Linked DNA regions of Cricetulus griseus. The protein of the gene in region 3 purifies or fractionates together with the protein of the main gene of each other region. This does not show direct contact. Links are inferred from orthologs where the notes say so. Each region holds a gene or a part of one and is shown on either strand. Other genes may lie near its edges.

Region 1 (4,363 bases), on a different chromosome or scaffold from region 3:
ACCACAATCTGCCCACTACCCAACTTACTGTGTCTGTGAACTGGTAAGCGATGAATTTGCGCATCAAGGAAATTGCTGTGGCTCGTTCCTCCCCAATCTGGAAAGAGAGATGGATTTGGAGACCTGAAGAGGAAGAGAGCAGGACACAAGAAAACTGGCAGGAAAAAGAGTCGGGCAAGTGGAGGGCAGGAAGATGTAGAGGAGAGACATAGACTGCAAGAACAAGACACTAAGGGAGAAGAAAGGGAAAAAGCGGGGTGACAGAGAGAGACAGACAAGGAAAGGAGCACAGAGAGGCAGCTACAGAGAAGGACACAGAGACTAGCTGTCCAAGAAGATCCAGAGAAGACAAATGGTCCTCCCCTACCACAGCCCAAGGCCAGAACACTCACCTTACACTTGACCGTCCACAGGTTGGGGTCCCTACAGAGCACAGGATTAGCAGGACAAAGTTACCAAAACTGTCTCCTCAGTAATACACAATCCACACCATTTGCCCTGCTTCAGCCCAGGGCCCAGCTCTCATCAATTACACACAGGGGGTCTTACTTCCCCCACCCTCCTGCATGTCTGCACCCCACCTTCGGCCTTCTACCCTTCTCCCACTCTCTTACTTGACTCCGGGGAGCAGCTGCTGCTGGGTGATGTCGTCCGAGAGCTCATCAGACCCTCCATACACCCTAGAGAGAGCAGGGTTGAGAAAGAAGGGGATGGTGCTCCACCAGACCCCCCATACACCCTAGAGAGGACAGTGTTGGGAAAGAAGGGGATGGTGCTCTAACAGATCACACCTGCTTACCACCCAGGACCGCCCGCGCCTGCCCACCAGGCACTTACGTCTCTCCCACAGATGACTTAGCGTATTTCTTCATATAATACTCGCCCAGCTCTTCTTCTCTCTGGTCCCTTGGGTACGAGGGGGGGAAAACAGACATGGAGAAAAGTGGAGGACCGGAGGGCAGGCTGACCTGCCCCACGTCTGTCCAAGGAAGCTGGGTTCCACCCAGGTCTCCTCACTTGCTTACCTCCAGAGATTTTGCAGGCGGCGAGCCCCAGAACGGTCTTCATCCAGAACAACGTTATCAATATTGGAGGCTGGAAACAGAGGTGCAGGGAGCGTCAGGCTAGAAATGGGCTTGGGGATTTTGGGGCCAGAACTGGCCCTGGGGCAGGAGATACCGGGCTGAGTAACCCCCACCCTCTTCCCCCACCCTCTGTCCTCCTCAACTCCCTGCTTCTCAGCATATGTGCTCAGGGATAGGTCCAGTTGCTGGGGGGAGGGGACATTCATCAGTTCTTCATCTCACAGTCACCCTGCGCTCCCCTGCTTCAGACTCCTGCCTGCACTACATCTAGACCTATGGGCACAGGAATGTCTAAGCTCCCTAGGTCGGACACCCAAGACTGCCTAGCCCTGCACCCAGGTGAGTCACAGCCCCAGGGCCACAAAGGAGATGGGAGGAGAGCCACAGACCACACTTGCCCAGTTCTTACCTTCAATCTCTTCTACTTGGAGGAAGAGGAGAAGGTGGTGGTGGTGGTGGTGGTGGTGGTGGTGGTGGTATGCAGGGTAGACAAAGTATGAGCCAAATTATAGCAGCAAAATCAACCAATGGGGTGGGGCAAAGGGAGGGACACAGGAAGGTCAAAAACCAAAAGTAAAGGCCAGGCATCAGGTGGGTGAGGAGAAGCCGAAATGTATGAGGCGCACAGAACGGAAACTAACAGGGAAGGGGGCACTGGCCCAGCAAGTGGGGGGTATTGTGGGACCGAGCCCACCCACCCTACACCCCACAAAAGGGATACCCAGAATACTCTCTCTGTACCACCACCCACCCAACAGTCCCCGCCCCCCACTCATGGGCCTAAAAGGAAAAGGATTGGGGGAGCCGTCTCTCTGGCAAGGACAGAAAGAAGCAAGGTGAAGAGAGTGAGAGTTGGGGTGGTTGCAGGGCATGGGGTATGGGGAAGGGCTTAGAAGACACCCTCCCAGGCACAGCCACACCCCACGTGATCTCGCAGGCAGGTCCCACACACACCTTTCTCCAGGATGTCTTCAGCTCCATCTTCCCACTGGTCCTCGTCCTCATACTCATCGTCTACATCTGAAATGGGAAAGCCAGGTGGTCAGCAGGGATGAAAGGTGACCTCAGAACAGCAGCTCCGCTAGCAAGAATTCTTTATACAAGGTCATGCCACAGACTGGTACAGTGGAGGCGGTGTCATGTGGACCCACCTATCTCTAAAGGCCATCTCCTCCTCCACTCTACCCCAACCACACATATCCCTTCTAAACAAATACAACCAGAGCTGGCATGGTGGCACACCCTGTAACCACAGCATTCTGAGTCAGGCCCCATAGTACAGGCCAGGCACCCCGACTACATGAGAGGCTAAGCAGAAAACTGCAAGTTCAAGGTCAACTTAGGCTACACTGTCAGTTCAAGGCCAGCCTGAGCAACTTAGCAAGACTCTGTCTCAGAATAAAAATAAAGAGGGCTGAGAATATGGCTCAGAGGCTGTAACACTTGCCTAGAATCCACCAGTGAGGTTCTGGGGATGTGGCTCTGGAAGAGTCAACCCCACTACCTCATATGCATGTATATACACATACACAACACTGGAGCCACACACAGTCTCATGTCTCGTGTACTTCAAGCTTGCTCAATGCTTCCAGGCCCTATGACATACCAGCCTCATCCAAAATGAAGCCCCCATGGCGTGGTTTCTTTGGGGGCCGGTCATCGTCTTCCTCCTCTTCCTCCTCATCGTATTCCTCCTCTTCCTCCTCCTCCTCCTCCTCCTCAGGCTCCTCATCCTTTTCACTGCCTGCTGCACTCCGCCGTCCATCTTGACCCTGTAGGGTCAAGCAGAGTTGGGGCACCAGCGTTCTACTCTCCACAAATCCAGAAACCTTGATGTCTCACTCACACACACACCTCTCTCTCTCTCCCTCTCTCTCCCTCTCTCTCCCTCTCTCTCTCTCTCTCTCTCTCTCTCAGACACACACACACACACACACACACACACACACACAGAGAGAGAGAGAGAGAGAGAGAGAGAGAGAGAGAGAGAGAGAGAGAAAGAGAGCTCACAGTCCCTACCTGGCCAGGCCTTAGGTTACTGTCCTAACTCAAGTGACAGCACAGCCATGTCCCAGACACCCAACCAGCCCCTGGGAGCCAATCCCTTCACTGGATCCCTTGCTCTGAGGGTCATTAAGCGGCTGTACCTTGTGATTGGTCATCAGCCCCACTCTGTGCTTCCTGAAGAGTCCCTCCCTCTGGATCTGTTTGAGGTAGTGAATACTTACCCATCGATGGTCTCTGGTGCTTCCCTTGCACTTCCTCTACCACTAACCCAAGGTCAAATGCTACCTCTGGTAAGGCAGACTGCCTTGGAACTCACTGTGGCCTGGGCTAGTCTTGAACTTGTGGCAGTGTTCCTGTTTGTTTCCCAGCAGTGGGTTACAGGTGTAACCAGCACACCTGGCTTCCACTCACCTCTTAAAGGCAGCTTTAGATGGAGTTAGCGCTCTGTCAGGGCCATGATTCTCCTTCCTCCCACACCTCTGTCAGTGGGCCATTTACCCTTCATTACCACAGCTCCCTCCCTTATCTGCTGCTGATGCCCACATGCCGCTACCTCTCCACTTTCTCCACATACAGAGTCCGTGCCACGTGCAGCAGTCTCTGGGTCACCTCCCTAGATACCCTCTGGGTACACCAGACCAACAGTCTCTGTCCTGTGTCCACTGTGACCACAGTGCTGTCCCCAGAGCCATGCTGGCTCCAGCTCTCCCTTTCTGCCTGTGACTGTCACTGCTCCAGGCCCTTCCACTCAATGCGTCCCAAGCCTAGACCAGCACATTGCCCTCCAGCACTGGACCCTGGCCTTGCTCTCCTCTGAACACCCCCTGGTTTCTTCCTTCCCTTCCCTTCCCTTCCCTCCCTCCCTCCTTCCTTCTCCCTGAGACAGCATTTCTCTGTGTAGCTCTGGCTGTCCTGGAACTTAACTCTGTGGACTGGGCTGTCCTGAAATTGACAGCTCCGCCTGCCTCTCTGAGTGCTGAGATAAAGGTGCATGCCACCACCATCCAGCTCACTCCCTGGTTTTTTGTTTTTGTTTTTTTTCCCCCGGTTTTTTCAAACAGAGTTTCTCTGTGGCTTTGGAGGCTGTCCTGGAACTAGCTCTTGTAGACCAGGCTGGTCTGGAACTCAAAGAGATCCTCCTGCCTCTGCCTCCTGAGTGCTGGGATTAAAGGCGTACGCCACCAACGCCCAGCTCACCCCCTGGTTTTTAATCCCTGTTCTGTAGATGGATTTTTCTCTGGGCCATCAGCTCACAAATAACTTCACAGAGA
Region 2 (4,363 bases), on a different chromosome or scaffold from region 3:
CGTAGTTGCTATTATTAGGACTCAAATTTTGCTTTCTTTGACAGTGGTAGCGAGTCTTCCTTGTCTTCATCCTCATCATCATCTTCATCATCATCGGGATAATCTACCAGACCCACGAGTCCTCCCTGTGCAGAAATAAGGATTATTTAAAGAACAAAACACTGAATTTGAAAATACCCATGTTAAACCCAGAATAAGTATAGGCCTAATGGCAGCACGCTGAAAGCCATTAATTATTTTTTATAGGTATTTTAAATGTTCATGTTTCTATAAGATTCTTTTTTTTAAAGACAGTGTTTCTCTGTAGCTTTGGCGTCTGTCCTGGAACTCCCTGCCTCTGCTTCCTAAGTACTGGGATTAAAGGCATGTGCTGCTACCACCACCTGAACTTTGTAAGGTTCTTTCAAGCTACTAAAAACTAAAACAGAAACAAAAAAATTATACTCTACTAGAAAATCACCCAGGAACAGAAACACCACTGAGAAATGGCTATAACTAACAGTGTATAAAATTCATTTTTTAAATGGGGCTGGAGATTGAAGTCAGGGCTTCGTATGTCTCAAGCCAAGGGCTCTACTACTGCAACATACCCAGACTTCATTTTTACCTTTTGAGCCAGAGTTCACTTAAGTTGCTCAGGCAGGCCTTCAGCTAGCAATCTTCCTTCTCCAAAGTAGCTAAGCTAGGATTATCAGCCTGTACTACAATGTCTGGCTCAAACTTATTTCAAAATAAAGTAAAAAATGGTATCAAAACACAGATTACTCAAAATGAAAGCAGATAAGAAAGTAGTTCTATTATTTCTCTTCTGGGTTTCCCTTTTAGTCTGCTTCCCCACCATAAACTATAGTACAACTCGAATAGCTATGAAAATTCATAGTACTCTGCTACCAGCCCGTGCCTTCTTCCCAACATGTCTGACTCAGCCTTAGCACTGAGGGATCTCCTGCCAGTGTCAGATGAAATGAGACCGTGGGGCCAGTGACATGGCACAGCAGGTAAGGGGTCTTTCTATCAAGCCCTATGACCTAAGCTTGATTCCTGGGTCCCACATGGTGGAAGGAGAGAGCAGACTCCTTCAAGTTGCCCTCTGACTTTCACATGCTGTGGTGTGTCCACACACAAAAACATTTTAAAGAAAGAACTAAAGAATAGACTGGACAGCACTATGAATTATACTGGCATTATACCAGTATAATTAGTCTGGTCTAATTGCTATTATTAGTTTTATGTTCTTTTTTTGGGGGTGGGGGTGGGCGGAGCATGCTGAAGTAGCAAAAGCCATCAAAACAAATGCCCCCTTTTTTGGGGGGTGGGGTGGGGTGGGGTGGAGTGGGGCTGAGACAGGGTTTCTCTGTATTGTTTTGGAGCCTGTCCTGGAACTTGCTCTGTAGACCAGGCTGGCCTTAAACTCACAAAGATCCGCCTGCCTCTGCCTCCCGAGTGTTGGGATTAAAGGCCTGTGCTACCAGCGCCCAGCCAGACTAAATTTTGTACAGGACACGTGAGGTGACTTCAGGTAGTGAACAGTTTTTAGCTAGTTCCAGAAAAGAGAATCAAAGAAATAAAATCTAGGCACACTGACCACTGAGAAAGCTTAAAGCACAGCAGAGAAGGACCACCATGTGGGGAGAGAGAGGTGTACCTTTGTGGTAATAGCTGCCGTCTGAGATGTACTCTTAGGGACGGATCCAGGAGAGCCTGGAGAGCCCGGGGACCCAGGTGACCCTGGAGAGCCAGGCAGGCTTGCTGCCGACGACTGGCTGCTGAGGTTAGTCTTTGTCCCACTGGACAGGGAGAGTTTGAAACTTGGGCTCTGTCGTCCAGAAAGGTTAGTTTTCAGAAGCACCTCCTTTTCTTCACTTTCTTTCACTAAAATGAGAGTGTAAAAATAGTTGTCACTCATTTTTTTTCTGAATTCCTCTAAAAGAAGTGACACTAAAAAACAACCAGCTTATTTCTTTGCTCAGGTTGCAACTCTGACGTCCAACCTATTAACAAAGCCTATCCAAGTACTAAATGTTAATATCCAGCAAATTTTACAGCACAGAAGAAAGACCTTTGGTATCACATTTAGTATTTATACCCCCCAGCCCTTCAAACTATTTTCCTTAAACTAGGAAAACTCAGCCTACACCTTTACAGTCAGAAACTCAGCAATGTCCTGTAGGTCTTTGAACTGTCATTGTATATTCTGAGTAGATACTAATCATTTTCTCAAGAAATAAAAGACCTGGACTGAGAGAGCCTCACTTTCCCTTGCCCACTGTTTTAACATACATTTCTTCCTTTCCATGAATTTACTTATTGGATCCATGATATCATCATCATTCTTAGTTTTGTCAGATGGAGACACCACAGCTTCTCCATCTTCCATGTCATCTTCATCTGTGTTGAACCACATCTCTTCCTCATCTTCAAGAGTTCTGGCATCCCGTCGATATCGATGATTCCTCAAGATGGACCGCATGCTATGAGAAAATGGAAGGCTGTAAGGGGATGAGGTACCGGGTGTGATCCCTGTCACCACCAAGACCAAATACCAAACCACAATGGAACAATTACTAATTAAAAGTCAGACCCTATCAAATCTAATATAAACTAGTATAATCCAACTTCAAATTTCTAAAATGCTAACTGTTATAGCTCAATTATTAAGCCTGATAATGATGGGAATTAAGTAATTACTGTATAGATTATAAACCATACTACAAAGGCTAGAGATGGTACAGTAGTTAGGACCTGTGTTCAATTCCCAGCATCTAATAGCAGCTCACAACCATTTGTATCTCCAGTCCTAGGGGATCCAACAACCTTTTCATCTTTTGTGGCTATTAGGCATGTACATGCAGACAAACCACATATATACTAAAAAATTAGCTGGACAGTATTGGTACATGCTTTTAATCACAGCACTCAAGAGGCAGAGACAGATGGATCTCTGTGAGTTTGAGGCCAGCCTGGTCTACTGACTGAGTTCCACGATAGCTTCCAAAGCTAAACAGAGAAATCCTGTCTTGAAAATCCCCAAGCTCCCCTTCTGGAGAAGGAAGAGGTAGAAGAAGAAACTAATGGGAAAAAAACAACCAATACTACAAGTGTGAATCTAGTTAAATAACTAGAAGGTATATGGCATTTAAAAAAACAATTAAGATAATATTCTTTTGTTTTGTTTTTCAAGACAGAGTTTCTCTGTGTAACAGTCCTGGAACTTGCTTTGTAGACCAGGCTGGCCTGGGATTAAAGCTACTACCACCTGGTTAAGATAATATTCTGATCATGTGAAACCTCACTACTATATCAGTTTATGTTGGTATCTAAAGATCTTACTATAATTCATCTACACTTTCAGAAACAAACAAGCAAAATTAGCACACAGGTTGCCACGATGGCTTAAAGAATAAAGGTGTGTTCTACCAAGTATGACAAACCTGAGTTTGAACCTCAGAACCCAAACGGTGGAAGAAGAGACCCAACTCTTGCAAGTTGTTCTGAGACAAACCCATCCCAAAGTACATGTATTTGAAGATACACACATGCATAAAATAAATGTTGAAGAAAAAGACAATGGCAATTCCCTCCACTCCCCACAATTTCTGAGCATGTTTTCCCCATCTTCTCTCTACAGCCAACTCAAATACCGCCAAGAACCGAGAAAGCCAGCACACAATCTACTGCTGAATGGAGAACATGTTCAAATATGCAGTAACTTACCTGTCAAGTTTGGGGTTGTCTTGCCTTTCTCTTTGTTGTTCAAATCTCAATTTTAATCCTTTAAAAGTCTGCACATAATCTACATCTTCTAGTGCTTTCCAATAATTTTCAATTACATGGGCAGTTAATGATTTTATATCTTCCTACAGAAAAGAATTGTAAATAAATAAATCAGACACATAGACACAACTTTAACAAAATGAGGCATTATTACAGTAGTTCCTAAAACTCACCAAAAGTTTATCTCATAAACTTATAAACTTAAAAATAGTCAAACAATGAAAATGGGAATAACATATACTACACTGGCACCATCAATAGTATGCAGCTTTTGGTCTATCTGGGAATTGTCCACAGGTGTTCCCAGCGTGTATGTCCAACCAAGCCCTATTCTAGTGATTCTGGTTCCCAAAGACTGGACACAGTGGTACACACCTGCAATCCCAGAACTTACAAAGGCTTGAGGCAGGAGAATGGTCATGAGATCGAGGCCCACATAAACCGTAGGGCAAGACTCTCCCTAATCTCAAAAACATACTAAATAACAGAAAAAGTCTACAGTAAAGTTCTGGAGATGGACTTCTGTGGCTGTTGTGCAGTAACATAAAAGATACTACCCTTTGAGAATACATCTGACAATGAAGAAAAT
Region 3 (4,363 bases):
ATTCTGAGTCTGCAGGAGACTAGCAGCAATATTAGTTAGTAAAGCCATAGAACTCTTAATTTTTTCCTTTTATATTTTTGAGACAGTGTTTTTCTGTGCATCCTTGGCTGTCCTGGAACTTGTTCTGTAGACTAGGCTGCCTTCGAACTCAAGAGATCCGCCTGCTTCTGCCTCCGGAGTGCTGTGCAGTGGTCAGGCTTTAATTACTATTTCCAAACTCTCTGTTGTTTTTCGCTTTGAGACAGGGTCTTACTATGTAGCCCAGACTGGCATTACTCTTGGACTAATCTTTCTGCTTCAGGCTTTTCAATACTGGAATGAAAATAGGGATGAAAAAGCTTAAAACGGTTAAAATGATCCCTTCCACTTCTCTCCTTCCCTCCATCCCTCCCATAGCCTAGCTTTGCCTTAACTTGCTGTATAGCTGTAGGTGACCTTGAACTTCTGATCATCCTCCTTATATTTCCTAAGTGCTTTGATTCCAGGGTGTATCACCATGCCCAGGGAAATGATCTTGAATATATTGTGAAAGAGGGTTTAAGAAAAATAAATTTATTTTCTTCAGGTGTTTCTTTCTTGTAAAAATTCATTTTAAAATAGTATAAGCCCCATGTGAAGGTACACTCAGTTGGTTTATAAAGCACTTCAAAATAATACAGGTTTACTATATTGAGTCAGTCCATTATCTGCAGCTGTCTTAGTCAGTGTCCTATTACTGTGAAGAGACACCATGACCATTGACAACTCTTATAAAGGAAAGCATCTAATTGGGGCTGGCTTACAGTTTCAGAGATTTAGTCCATTGTCATGGCAGGGAGTGTAGTGGCATGCAGGCAGACGTGGTACTAGAGAGATAACTGAGAGTTCTGCATCTGGAATGGCAGGCAGCAGGAAGAGAGAGACACTGGGCCTGGCTTGACCTTCTGAAACCTCAAAGCCCATCCCCAGTGACACACTTCCTCCAACAAGGTCACTTCTATTGCAACAAGGCCATGTGTCCATATCCTTTCAAATAATGCCGCTCCCTATGAGCCTATGGGGACCAGTTTTATTCAAACCACTACAGCTGCCAATCACTTTAGTTGATTACAGTCAACTACTGTTAATCCCCAGATGATTTTATATCCCATATGGTTTTTTTGGTCTGAATTTTGACTTTCTTTCCCAATACAGTTTGACTATCTTTCATGTTGATCATAAGGAAGGCTGGGAAAACTGGATTATAAGGTGCCTTGTTTTTGTGTGTATCCTTCTGACCTGTGTGTTTAAAACTAAAATTCTTGAAAAATTTTAATGTCAAATTTTAGACGGTAGAGTTTTAGACCAATAAACCAGTGTATTATTTTAGAATTTTTGTCTAGTGCTGTAAGTTAGAGCCTAAACAACTTAAATTAATAAGCTATTAGTTAAAGGAGTATTTTGAATTTTTAGAATGTATAAATGTGTAGTGTAACTAAGTAATTAACTGAACTGTTTGGAAAGCAGGTTGTCATTTAAAACAGAATGTGGCATTTGGAGTGGTTCAGTTTAACCCAAGCTGCTTTCTCTTCTAGGTGTTCACTGCACCCATGGCTTCAACCGGACTGGTTTCCTCATATGTGCCTTTTTGGTGGAGAAAATGGATTGGAGGTATATAGATTTATTATAGTGGAAGAAGATGTATGTGACAATTCATGGTGCTTATGAAGCCTATAAAATGGTGTACTTACTTTTCCATGTTGTTCTTGTATTTTAGAATTAGCACAGGTTGGGTCTTCCAATGTTTGTGTTTGTATTCAGCTTTGGAGATGTCTGTTGTTTTCCTTTTTAAATTTATCTTTTATAGCTGTTAATTACTAGTAAAAACATACAATGCTATATGAAGGAAGCATTTTAGGATGGCATTACCCCATTTAAATAAATCTTATCTTTATTGAACATGTTACTTGTAAAGTATATTTTTAGATTTTGAGGGATTAGAACCTAGTAATCTGGAATTCTTATGAGGATAGGATATTGCTGACTGAATTTTCTTATTACTGCTCTAGGTTCATAGTTTATATTTCTAAAACCTTATACCCAGTTGGTCCTTTTTTTTTGTAATACAGTAAGGCAAAATATGGATCTGACTGTTTTCTATTCGTTTACACTCAGTGGTTTTCTACTTTGTGTATTTTTCAGCTTTGGCCATTCAGAATACTATATACAATAACATCAGACTCATATGCCAGACTCAGCCAATGCTTCCCTCCCTCTCAAGATGTGTAATCTTGGTGACTGGGTCTGGGTCCATTGGCAGTTTCTTAAAAATCAATGTGTTTGTTTACTTTGCTGTTCACTTTTTCTTGACTGCTCTTTTATCTATGAGACCTTGACCTTCAATGTTTTATTAAGATTTCTTTTCATTGGCTATCCATGTCTGTCATAAACACAGCAATGTACTTTAGACATTTATAATATACTATATATTAGAAAATACTAAATATTATAGTGGACTATATGTTGCAGTATACCATGTGCATGTGTTTTTAGAATCAGTTTGTCATTGAGTGAAAACTTTCCTGATAAAGAAAGATTTTAGTTTGTCTATTTTATATGCCTGTTATACTTTTTGTGGTATGTTGGGTATGAGTTGTTGATAAGTCCACATAAATGGACACTAGTGAGAAAATTGCATTGATTGTTTTCCATAGCATTGAAGCAGCAGTTGCTACATTTGCCCAAGCCAGACCACCAGGAATCTATAAGGGTGATTATTTGAAGGAACTTTTTCGTCGCTATGGTGATATAGAAGAAGCACCACCACCACCTGTATTGCCCGATTGGTGTTTTGAGGATGATGATGAAGATGATGAGGATGAAGATGGGAAAAAGGACTCAGAACCGGGGTCAAGTGCTTCCTTTGGTAAAAGGAGAAAAGAACGGTTAAAACTGGTAATGTTCACAAATACTGAATATTCTTTTAAAAGTGTAATTTAATTTTAATTACATTCATTTATTTTGTATATATGCATGCTTGAATGTATGTGCCTTTGTATGGGAATGGCACAATATGCCTTTGGAGGTCAGAAGGGAACTTGTGGGAGTCAGTGTTTTTTTCATACTATGTGTGGGTCCTGGGGTCAAAGTCAGGTTGCCAGGATAACTGCAGGAGCCCTTACCTGCTGAGCCATCCTGATGTCCCCAAATACCATACCATAGTACTCTGTTTTTGTTTAAACTTAGTGTGGGATGTTCTCTCTCTCTCTCTCTCTCTCTCTCTCTCTCTCTCTCTCTCTCTCTCTGTCTGTCTGTCTCTCTTTCTGTATATCGAAGAGCATAATAGTGGTCTCTGATTTTATGAAATTAATTTTGGTTCTATGTGAAACCCATTAAGTAAGTTCTGACATCATGAACCAGATGGAGACCTCAAGTCCAGGCTCATCTCAACTCCCAATCCTCCTGTCAGAGTGTTGAGTAATATTCTTAATGCTGAGATAGATTATAGGCATTCCCCACCATGTCTCACTTTTAAAGATTAGCCAGCCAATTGGTCTTTAAAGTTTTGTCTTACAAAATTATTTATTCGTTGGATAGAGGGACTTGCCTGTTGTGGTGAGAATGTGAGGTCAAGAGCCACTTGTGGGACTTATTCTTCTTCATCCATCTTGTGCTTTCTGGGATCAAACTCAGATTGTCAGCCTTGGAAACAAGTGCCTTTACCTGCTGAGCCATTTTGCAGCCTAGCAGTCTTTCTTTTTCTTCAGAGAAAAGCTGAAGTTAAGAAATTTCATCCTTGTTTTGTTTCTTATGTAAACCAAAGAACTCCTAGATGTTAGATTGGCATTAGCTAATAAACTACTAACTGCATTTAGTATTAACAATAGACTTAGTATATTACCTAATAACCATTGAGAATGTTTCTGCAAAATAGTCATACAGGTAATGTCACTGTCCCCTGCCATAGGTGGTGTTTCTTTTGTAGTATATACAACTTAAGAAGACCTCTGCTTCCATAGTCAACTTTTCTTAATCTTCCAGGATTAAAAGTTTTAATGAAGTATTAGGAATTGGGTTGTGGCTACAACTCAGTTGGTAGAATACTTGCCAAGCACTCATGAAGCATTGGGTTTGTTTCCTAGCACTGTATAAATGGTGCATAATAATACATGCTGATTCCAGCATTCAGGAGTTCAAGGCCATCCTCTGCTATGTAGTTGTAGGCAAGGATGGGATACATGACCCTGTGTTTAATTAAAAGTGGTAGAGTGGAGTTATCTTTCCTTCAGTGACAAGAGATCTGTTGAGAGCATAGTACTCTTTTACTTGTACACAGACATACTTGGTCTAGACCAAGAGAAAGTTACAGAAGTGTGGAGGAAATGAAGTGTTGATGAAATTAGTA

The links.
Region 1: the proteins of Rngtt (region 3) and Supt5h purify together in Homo sapiens (affinity purification with mass spectrometry; 3 studies listed by BioGRID and IntAct, with this or other methods). This does not show direct contact. The link is inferred for Cricetulus griseus from reciprocal best matches to the Homo sapiens genes RNGTT and SUPT5H.
Region 2: the proteins of Rngtt (region 3) and Ppp4r3a purify together in Homo sapiens (affinity purification with mass spectrometry; 3 studies listed by BioGRID and IntAct, with this or other methods). This does not show direct contact. The link is inferred for Cricetulus griseus from reciprocal best matches to the Homo sapiens genes RNGTT and PPP4R3A.

The regions. Positions count from the first base shown.
Region 1 is NC_048602.1:7,548,912-7,553,274, reverse strand, and holds part of Supt5h (transcription elongation factor SPT5), read right to left. Parts: intron 2,858-4,363; coding exon 2,692-2,857; intron 2,106-2,691; coding exon 2,040-2,105; intron 1,507-2,039; coding exon 1,495-1,506; intron 1,096-1,494; coding exon 1,026-1,095; intron 907-1,025; coding exon 838-906; intron 681-837; coding exon 615-680; intron 424-614; coding exon 393-423; intron 98-392; coding exon 29-97; intron 1-28. UniProt on the Homo sapiens protein: Component of the DRB sensitivity-inducing factor complex (DSIF complex), which regulates mRNA processing and transcription elongation by RNA polymerase II.
Region 2 is NC_048598.1:104,710,994-104,715,356, reverse strand, and holds part of Ppp4r3a (serine/threonine-protein phosphatase 4 regulatory subunit 3A), read right to left. Parts: intron 3,858-4,363; coding exon 3,715-3,857; intron 2,472-3,714; coding exon 2,281-2,471; intron 1,873-2,280; coding exon 1,646-1,872; intron 126-1,645; coding exon 15-125; 3' UTR 1-14. UniProt on the Homo sapiens protein: Regulatory subunit of serine/threonine-protein phosphatase 4. May regulate the activity of PPP4C at centrosomal microtubule organizing centers.
Region 3 is NC_048595.1:108,704,578-108,708,940, reverse strand, and holds part of Rngtt (mRNA-capping enzyme), read left to right. Parts: intron 1-1,553; coding exon 1,554-1,629; intron 1,630-2,672; coding exon 2,673-2,913; intron 2,914-4,363.